Linked DNA regions of Caenorhabditis elegans. The protein of the gene in region 1 interacts with the protein of each later gene in a pairwise test. Each region holds a gene or a part of one and is shown in the gene's direction. Other genes may lie near its edges.

Evidence for each region.
Region 2: the proteins of pat-10 (region 1) and K01A6.4 interact in a two-hybrid assay, tested with the Caenorhabditis elegans proteins (one large-scale study listed by BioGRID).

Annotation. Positions count from the first base shown.
Region 1 is NC_003279.8:5,017,635-5,022,653, reverse strand, and holds pat-10 (EF-hand domain-containing protein), read left to right. Parts: upstream 1-2,567; 5' UTR 2,568-2,590; coding exon 2,591-2,593; intron 2,594-2,661; coding exon 2,662-2,713; intron 2,714-2,763; coding exon 2,764-2,870; intron 2,871-3,277; coding exon 3,278-3,433; intron 3,434-3,483; coding exon 3,484-3,651; 3' UTR 3,652-3,672; intron 3,673-3,727; 3' UTR 3,728-3,871; downstream 3,872-5,019. Other genes in the region: C46H11.6 (PDZ domain-containing protein), read right to left, coding at 239-574, 879-1,072, 1,564-1,777.
Region 2 is NC_003282.8:11,738,033-11,743,177, reverse strand, and holds K01A6.4 (Glycine Rich Secreted Protein), read left to right. Parts: upstream 1-2,873; 5' UTR 2,874-2,893; coding exon 2,894-3,160; intron 3,161-3,226; coding exon 3,227-3,271; intron 3,272-3,493; coding exon 3,494-3,559; intron 3,560-3,606; coding exon 3,607-4,083; 3' UTR 4,084-4,189; downstream 4,190-5,145. Other genes in the region: K01A6.5 (uncharacterized protein), read right to left, coding at 1-8, 173-281, 430-472; K01A6.7 (Collagen-like protein), read left to right, coding at 4,611-4,931; K01A6.6 (G_PROTEIN_RECEP_F1_2 domain-containing protein), read right to left, coding at 1,033-1,132, 1,415-1,545, 1,589-1,695, 2,210-2,352, 2,573-2,691.

The DNA of each region.
Region 1 (5,019 bases):
GTTATTCATGTTCTCGGAGCAATAATTTACCGAGTAGATGTGGAAACTGAGGTGACCAATTTCTCAAGTTTCAGGCTTACTGTATACTTCTGATTTTAAGAAACCCAGTGTTTAGTTATTTTAATAATAATATTTTTGTTGAAGCTCCAGCATACGGATCGTCCTAAATCTTGCAAAACCGGACGCCGGTTTTCCAAGCAAACGTTCAGCCGGTACAATTTGAAGAAAAAGTCCTCACCCGACCAATACATATCGCGTCGTTTGCCATCTTAACATCTGGATCTGGAGCAACTGACTCAATCAAATGACGAAGAGTGTTTGCAGATTCCACAGAAACCGGTCTTTCAACCAAAAATGTGACTTTTTCTCCTTTCAAAATTCCCGACAGTTTCTCACGAATGAAGTCGTCATTTTTCTCTGCGTTCAGAATGGATTCTTCATTTATATCCATTATCAGATCCCCACGACCAAAGAATATCGAAGCGAGTGAGCTGGGCTCGATTCGAGTTACTATGCCACGTTTTTGAATATATGTCACTGTAACTCCAACCGTTGCACTTTTCATTGCGGAAGTCTGGAGTAAATGGTATTTATTAAGGGGTGGACATAAGTTCTAGGTATAATCCAAAGTTATTTTAAACAATTATTTTATGAGAATTTTTGTTGTCAAGCAACAAGCAGTTCGTCACATTTCGTCAAAAAAACTTTCATAATTTCGTCTTTAATTTTTTAAATTAAAAACAATTCATACTCAAAAAACATGCAAAATTCTAGAATTTAATTGGTCATTCTGTAACTCCGTTCAAAACCTCATTGCAAAGTTCAGATTTCGTATATTTTCGAATAAGATAATCATGTCGATTTTTCTTCAATTATACCTTTTCAACTTCAATAACAAAGCACGTATTGTCCCGTCTCAAAACACATCCCGATTTCTTCAACCGTTCTCTGGTCGCTGGGATAATATTTTTCCGTCTTGTAACCTCAACACTACATGTTTCACCTTTCATGAGCTCTGTCTGATACTTGGATATATTTCCACTGGCACCGTTCACCTTGACTATTTTGTCGCCTGAAAGAAAAGTATTTTTAATCTAGTTTTTTAAACTGGTTTAATACATTAATTGGAAAAGTGTAAAGTGGAAAAGAAACTAGGGAGTCTTCCGAGGAAAATTGACTTTTCCTGGCTCAAAATGTATAATTGTGGACAGAAGAGTTTTGAAACCCTTGTACCAGTCAAACCAATTTTTGCCTATTATTTTATCGGGGATAAATATACATTTGTTCGGCAAAACATCACAACTTCATAGCAAACTCTTGCAACTTGAAACAAACATTTATAAACAATTGCCAAGAGATGTTACAAAGTTGCAAAAACCGGAGCAGTTCTAAGCGAAATGTTTCATAAAGTTTGCCAAAAGAAATTGCAAGAGTCATCTGAAAAGCTGCAGAAATTTGTTAGAAAACTAAAGTAAATAATGGTTTGTAAGAAGTTGCAAGATTCTGTTATGAAGTTGGCCCGCTTCAAAATAGTTTCGGGTTATCCGGCCGTTGGAAACTTACTCAATATCAATCCATTGTAAAACGAGTTTGTTGATAGGAAAGAAACCATCGAATTCTCATTAATTCTAATAACTTCATTCGCAGGCTTTCCGACATCTTTTTCATCAATCTTGAATGAAACTGTCATATTTACAGTTTCCACATTCTGTGGGATCGGTGTCAGCCAACATTCTTTCATCTTTTTGTTCGTATTCTGCACTTTTTTCTTCGACATTCTTCTTCAAAAGAAATAACGTTTTCCGAAGTTACTTGTTAGCTCCAAACTCACGATTATGGTTTCCTTTTGAAATCCGGAAATTTAGTGTCAAATGATAAATAAGAATGATTAGAAATCTACCTCCTCCCCCTCGACTAAACTGAATTGGAAAAACATAAAGTTTAAATTCAAAATGGTGTGTCACGCGATAAAAAGTTACTGGAGAAACTTGAGAATTATAAAATAGTATTCAAATTAAACGTTTGATATAAAACTGTAAAGATATACATACTCAGTGCACATTTAAAAAAACTGAAAAAAAAACGTTGTTGTGTTCTGAAGCCCAAAAAGGCTAGATGTTCTGGTCACCATGTACAGCTAAGAATCCAAGTATTCTGGGAAAGTTCAATTACATATATTGCCTGTCAACTCCATTTCTGTACTTAATTCTACTCCAATTATATTATTTTTTTTCTATTTCCTGGACTTTTATTGATCCTTGGTTGCCTGTCCCCCCAATCTTTCTTCGTACTCTCCTCCCGTTTCCCCTTCCTTCTCGGAGAGCCTTGTCTCTCGAATCCTGTGTTTCGCAAAAATCATCGTCAACTTCCACACAGATATCATTCTGCGTCTCTTCGCCCTCTATGATCTCTCATGCCCGTTGATCAGGAGCATCTGTCACCCAGTGTAACACCAAGAATGTGTTTTGTGGAGGAGACGATGATGCCGTTGTGAGAAAGAAAAGCCCGCCCTCGGGTTCCTCCGCCTACTCGCTCCCGCCGTTGCTTCTGCCCGACGAAGCTTATCCAGAGCACAACAAACTCCGACAACATGGTGAGTCCCGCTTTCTCATGTCTTCAATAAATTTCTTTTTGAATTTTTATATGTTTATACTTTTATAGGCTGAGGATATCGAAGAGATTCTTGCTGAAATCGACGGATCCCAAATTGAGGGTAAGATATTTTATATTTATGATTGAAAAATCATCATTAAAACTTTCTAGAATACCAAAAGTTCTTCGATGCCTTCGACAGAGGAAAGCAAGGATACATCATGGCCACTCAGATCGGTCAAATCATGCATGGAATGGAACAGGATTTCGATGAGAAGGTAAATCATTTTGGAACTTTTGGTTTATGTAGAGTTAGGGGATCTTCAGAAGAGTGATAATTCAAATTAGGAAGTTTTCAACTCTTTTAAATTTAGGTTTCACGGTAATGATTAGGTAGGCCAACTGAGTAAGATAACCGAAAATATAAATGGGTTACTCTTGCCTAAAATTTTGTTTTTATCCGACCTATCTTCTGCGGCTTGTTTCTCAACTGAATTCAATTAATTTTCGCCACTAAAACATGTTACTAATGTTTGTGAAATAATTAATTTTGATATTCCATCTGAACAAAAGCATTTATTATGTCGACTAAAGTAAGATATAACTATATGTTATGAAATTTAGTTATAGAATTGATGATTTTGATTTTTCTAAATCTATGTGGCATCTAACTTCATTCTTTTAGACCCTTCGTAAACTGATCCGCAAGTTCGACGCTGACGGTTCCGGAAAGCTCGAGTTTGACGAGTTCTGCGCTCTCGTGTACACCGTTGCAAACACTGTCGACAAGGAAACATTGGAGAAAGAACTTCGTGAAGCTTTCCGTCTTTTCGACAAGGAGGTTTGTACTTTTAGATTTTGCTTTTTATTCTTTAATTATTAATTTTTCAGGGTAACGGATATATTTCTCGACCAACTCTGAAGGCTCTTCTCAAAGAAATCGCCGATGACCTCACCGATCAACAACTCGAGGAGGCTGTCGACGAGATTGACGAGGACGGTTCCGGAAAGATTGAGTTCGAGGAGTTCTGGGAGTTGATGGCTGGAGAGTCTGATTAAATTTTCTAATTCCTTTAAAATGTAAGTGTTCGAGCTTTTTTTGATTTTATTCAAAAACTAACTTTTTATTTTTCAGCGCTGATCTACAATCTTCAACTGTGGGGACCAGTCACCAACTTTTCATAATTTCCTTTTTCTTGAAATGTTAAATTCATTTCACTTTTTATTAATTTTCTTGTCATTCTTTTGAATGAATAAAAATGAATAAAAGTCTTTGTACATCCACAGGCTTATTGGAAGAGTGTGACCAATTTGAAACGGCCAAAATCAGGAAATAATCAGAAGAACTAGACTTCTCAAATCCTTTAACACAACATCAAATCCGCAGTATAGTGCTCCGTTTTCTCTTGACCTAAAAAAACGGGAAAAGTCCATCTACGGGGAATGGAATGACAAATCTCTATAAATATAGAGATTCACCGTTGCAACCTTGTTGTTTGAAAGTGAAGTGTCTCTAAATAGAATGAAAATTATGAAAAATGGAAAATGTATTAAATCACTGCAAATGAGACCTCTACTCTGCGGCATTACAGTTTTTACCGTTTTAGCGCAACAGGACAGTTTTTGTAAATTTGCAAAAGTAAAGTGACAATTCTCTATGTAGATTTTCTACGAATGAATTTCAGGATACTTGTGAACTTGCAAAACAGTTTTTCACTATTTCAATTGTTCCAAATCTAAATTCAACAAATCCCTCTCTTTTTCTCTATCTGTGCTCAACTCTTTTCTATATAAACTTAGTGTAACATAGGCTTTATCTTTTTCTATCCACTTTCCCACCAATATCCCTCCAGGAATAGAAAAGGGATTAACGGTGGAGACTCCAAATAGTGTCCATCACATGCAGCTACTATTGCTCCAGAAGCCCTTCACGAGTCTCTCTGCCGTCTCTTTGCTTATCAGAGCCCAGATACTTACTATGGAAACCATCAGATGGGAAAACGAGAAGAAGAAAGCAGATGTAAATATAAATTAGAAAATAAGAAGAAGAAGAGACAGACATAGAGTTGTCCCTCCGTTTCTCTTTCTCTCACTCCCTTTCAAAGCGCCACGTGTTAGTTTCTTTGAAGTAGGTACAAATATTAGGATGCTCTCAATGTCTATAATGTATCTGGTTTACTGTAATTCTATGTCTCTCATTCTGAAACACTGTTTTTAAATTCCTTGCTTCATTCTTTAGCTACCTTGCTTCAACTCAGAAATAACAAAAACAAGTGTTTTTCTAGAGTATTTTTGAAAGATAACTGCTGAAATCAGAACTGCAGTAATTCTCTGAAAATAAAAATTTAAATAAAATACACAATTCTTTTAAATACTTTAAAAAAAAATATATTTTTAGCTCACACGACTTATCAAAAAACATCACTC
Region 2 (5,145 bases), on another chromosome or scaffold:
CGTCATCCCTGAAATTTTTTTGTGCATTTTCTAACTTTATCTGGAATTCATTTTCAAAAATGTTGATGCAAACTTTAGAAAATTGGATTTTTAATTTGTTTTCAGTCAATTCGGAAAAAACCAACACGTTGGTACAACACACGCCAATAAACAAATATATGGAAGCACTCACGTGGAATCTGGTTCTTTACTGGACTTGACTCCGTTCCGACCTCCTTTCGTTTTTGTTGAACCTCTGTCATTCTCGATTGTCGTGAACATTGCGGTTGCGGTGTGATTCCCTGGAATTAGATATAATTCTCAATTATTTAATTACAAAATTCAAGTTCTAATCTGCGAAATAACATTAAATTACCGGTGGAGTGATTTCCAATGTGGTATCCTTCTTTTCCTTTTTAAATTTTGCACAAAACACGAGAAAGCTATTACATGATATTGCAAAAAGCATCGAAATAACAATTATAATGATCATTATATTGACAGTTGAATTGTACGCTTGACCAAATGAAGAAAGTAGAAATACATTTTCATGGGTAAATTTACTTTATCTTTTTCAAATCAACGTTGTTCTAATTAGTGGGAAGAAAATTAAAAGAACACAACGTGATTCAAAGTTGATATTTTACCATCCACGTTTGTCTCGGTAGTTTTTCTACGAGCATTATAAATTTGTGTGTCGTCGAACTCCACTCCGCTTATTTCTACAGATTCCAGACTAGCGCGGCAGGGACATTTTTTCTTGAAATTTCAAAGTTTGCACATTCGATTCCAATGAACGTTTCAAACTGAGTCTACTTCATATATTTTCTGTGGTTTTTTAGCCAATGTTCTTGTAATTTGTAAAAAAAAATATGTAACCTAAACCTTATTTTGAGCAAAAATTCATTTTCATTCAATTCACACATGAAAGACAAAAGGCATTGATAATTAAAAATCATAAGTAATTGTTTTAAAAATTATATATCATAGCGAAACCGAAAGCACGCGATGAACATGAAAAGCGAAACAAATTTGGCCGAAGAACCGTTGAAATCACAGAATATCGTCTCCAATTGCAGATCCTTTACGAGAAAATGATCGAAGAGAGCCAGTGTCAAATGAGTGACTTACACTGAGATACGTACGAGATATTCTGAAAATTTCAAGATTGATTTGGAGTTTGTTCAATTAGCAGTATTTTCTAGGAGATATTGTGCATCTTTAGATACCTATGTACTATTAAAATTTTTTGTCACATAAGAAAATAAAATGCAGAATATCTACAGAAAATACCTGAAGTTTGAAAAAAAGGTTCACCGCAAAACACTCGAAAACAAGATCAACCACACTGAAAAAGTCACACAAACCAGTAGACAAATTCAAAAAAAAAGAGAAGTAAAACAGTGCGTAACATGTTTGAATGAATGGCGGATACCTTCGGATACTGTTCCACACTTGCCTAGTACCACGCCGTGACGTGGATTGCTGAGCTCGAAGCAGAAGCTCATTTTGACATTCATTGTCACTTATTGAGGTACGACTATCACCAACATCTTCATCGTCGTCCTAAAAATGTTGAAATTGATTTTTAATAAAAAAGGACGCTTACTTTGACAATGACATAATAAGCAGTTAAAAGTGCTGCCGTGTTAGCAGCCATTGTTGTAATGGAGAGAAGCGGTTGCAGATGTCCAGTCACCAATGCTAATACCATTACTGTAAGATAATCTGTTTTATTGATATTCTTCACAACGAAATTCAAAACCAGAGGAAGAAGTAATTGAGAAAACCCTCTGAAAAATAAAAATAAACACGAATTCAATTTCGTCCTTACTGTATCAATATAATTTATGATGGTCGAAAAATTGTCATTACGCGATTCCTGATTACCTATATAAAATTATATTATTCGAATTCTGAAAATGTTCCCTACTAATAGGCGGGTAATTTGAGTGCACCCTAGGCCAAATATCTTTCATTTAAAAAATTGAAACGGGAAAAAGCAAACGGAAGTTCGAGGAATACCACGTGATGTTATAGGTCATTAATATTTAATCATCATCTATTCAAAAGGGTCAGACTTTTCTAGTTTTGAAAAATCTTGTGAACTTCATGTTTTGATGCTTATTTTATATGGTTGCTTGAAATTAAACGTGTCTTCAAACACGAGGTTCAAAATTCTTGATCAGCAAAAACTGAACTTTAGAACACCACAAAAACTGTGACTCACGGGCATTATTATTCTGAAAATGATTTATGGTGAGCGACAGTGTTGTGATGAATGCAGTTGGAACTTGAACAACGAGAAAACTTATTGTTACAGTCGTTATTAGAATTCGTGTTTGATCTCGAGGAGTTCTTCCGAAACGATTGCTGAAATTAATAGAATTGAATAAAATTGGTGGTGAGAAAAGTTTCAAACTGAAATAGACTAGAAAATAAACGGAAATTGAAGGAAATTAGTTGGAAATTAAGACTACAGTTTTCAACTTCTTTTTGCCTGCCTGGAAGGCAACATTTCAATTGAATTAGAAGACATTTTTAAATACTATTTCATCTGAATTCGTTCGAAAAACACCGCCTTAAAACTAACTGTTTTGTCAAATCGCCCATATCAATTTCGGGTTCTCGAATGAATCCAACATGAAGAAGAGCCAGTAGAACTCCAGGTATCACAAATTGAACAGCAAAATCCGCAAGTGGGAGGAATACCTGAAAAATTGGTTTCATTTGAGACCAGGTACATTCAGAGTACGACATCAATTCTGACTCAATAATTTTTGCATAAAACCTCCCCCACATTCATGATCTACATCATCAAAATCATATAAAATAGACAATGTTCGAATGAGAATTCGTATCAGATCATTTATTCACTTTTCATATTTTCTCTTTCTAATTTGAAGAGAACACTATGTACTCAAAAGCTGTACTACTTGCACTTCTGGTTTGCTCAGCTCTTGCCGCCCCAAAAGCAAAAAAGAACCAAACGGGAAATGAGCAAAATCAGCAAAGCCAGTCAGGTCAGAGACAGACTGGACAAGGCCAGCAAGTAGGATCTCAGCAAGGATTCGGAGGAATGCAAGGAGGATTTGGAGGGCAATCAGGATTCGGTGGTGGAAGCTCCCAGGGAGGGTTCGGTGGATTTGGACAGCAAGGTGGATTTGGAGGAAACTCTCAGGTAACCTTTCAACATAGCTCTAGAAACCTGTTTCAGAAAAAAGTAAAACAAAATTAAAAATTTCAGGGTGGATTCGGAGGACAACAAGGAGGATTTAGTGGAAATTCTCCGGTAACGTTTAGTGCTTCATACGCCTTCCACGTATGCCTAGGTCACCTTGAAGGCTCCCTACGCCTATTTTGCAGTCGTCTTTGATATCTAGCGGCGCGACTGATATAGTAGTTACTAGGCACGCAGGCAGGCATTTTGTGACTCATGGAAGACGTAGTACTAAATCAGATACTAGTTTTGCAATCATGATGTCACGAACAGAGTAATAAAAAATATTTCCAGGGTGGTTTCGAAGGACAACAGGGAGGATTCGGTGGATTTGGTCAGCAAGTTGGTTTCGGCGGGCAGGTTAGATAGGAAATTTGTTTAGAAATTTTTAAACGTAACAAATATAGGGAGGATTCGGAGGTAACAGTCAAGGTGGATTCGGAGGTCAGCAAAGCGGTTTTGGTGGTCAAGGACAGCAATCAGGATTTGGCGGAGGTTTTGGAGGAAACTCTCAAAATGGATTCCCAGCTCAGAGACCATCCCAACAGTCTGGATTTGGTGGACAAGGAATGCAATCTGGATTTGGAATGAACTCTCAACAGGGAGATTTCGGTGGACAGGGACAGCAATCTGGATTTGAAGGAAACACACAAGGACACTCCCAAGGAGGATTTGGTGGGCAGTCGTCTTCTGGATTTGGAGGTCAGCAAGGTGGGCAAGGTGGACAAGGTGGATTCGGAGGATCTACTAGAACCGGTGGAATGCAAGGAGGACAAGGAGGACAAAGTGGATCAAGTGGGTTCGGTGGATTCGGAGGCTTGGGCCAAGAAGGACAACAGGGTGGACAGGAAGGATCCAATGGAAACAACAACCAAGGATTTTAATATGTGATGTTCAGTATTTCATCTAAAAACTGGTAATGTGTTCCACTGCTCTTTTTAACGCTAACTTTAATGTTTTATTTTGACATTTTTAATAAATATTGAAGCATTTTTACAAACACCTCTAAACTCCTATTTCAAAGTCCACTTCGAACTTTAACAAATCGGATTATTCATTGAACAATTTGAACATCAAACGTATGTTTTTACTCGACAGTTTTCAAAAACCACATTTGCCGAACCACGTCATAATCCCATAGAAATCGGTGAAACACTGTGTATAGAGAATATCCGTTATTACAGTAATGTTCAAACGTTAAACAACTATGATTTTTTCGTTTTGTTTTGGAAGAGGGAATCCCCGAAAAGTTATCCAACCGGTATTTTCTCGATGGTATAAAATGAGTTTTTATTGGCTCAGATATCATCAACTTCTAATTTTCAGCCATTTAAGGTTTGTTTGAGAATTTATAACCTCACTTCTAAATATTCGATTACAAAGTTTTAAAAATCCTAAATTTCAGAAAACAATGTCCTACTCCTCTATGATTTTTGTTCTCCTCGTTAGTGTTGTACTTGCCGACGACCAACCAATTCCTCCACCAGTTCAACCAGGCATGGAAGGACAGCTTGGAATAGGGCAACCAGGTTTCAATGGACAACTGCCGGGACAAATTGGAGGAGTTCAACCTGTGATTGGAGGAATTGGGGTTCCAACACTTCCAACTTTACCAACTCTGCCGAGCCTGCCGACACTTCCAACAATCCCACCACCAGGAGTTGCACCAGGTGGAGTTATCGGACAACCAGGAGTTGTCGGCGGAATTAATGTACCACAACCAGGAATATAAATTTTTGCGCTTTGTCTTTTTATTCATATTTATTGTATATATCACAACTTTGATTCAAATAAACTTGAATTTGAATTTGAAAGAAAATTTGAAGGCAACATTATCAAAATAACATTATTTGGGAGAAATTAATCTCAGAATATTGAAGAGCATTAAAACTTGGTTTTGATAATTAGTGAATAAGAACCAACTATACTGGAATTATCTATTCATA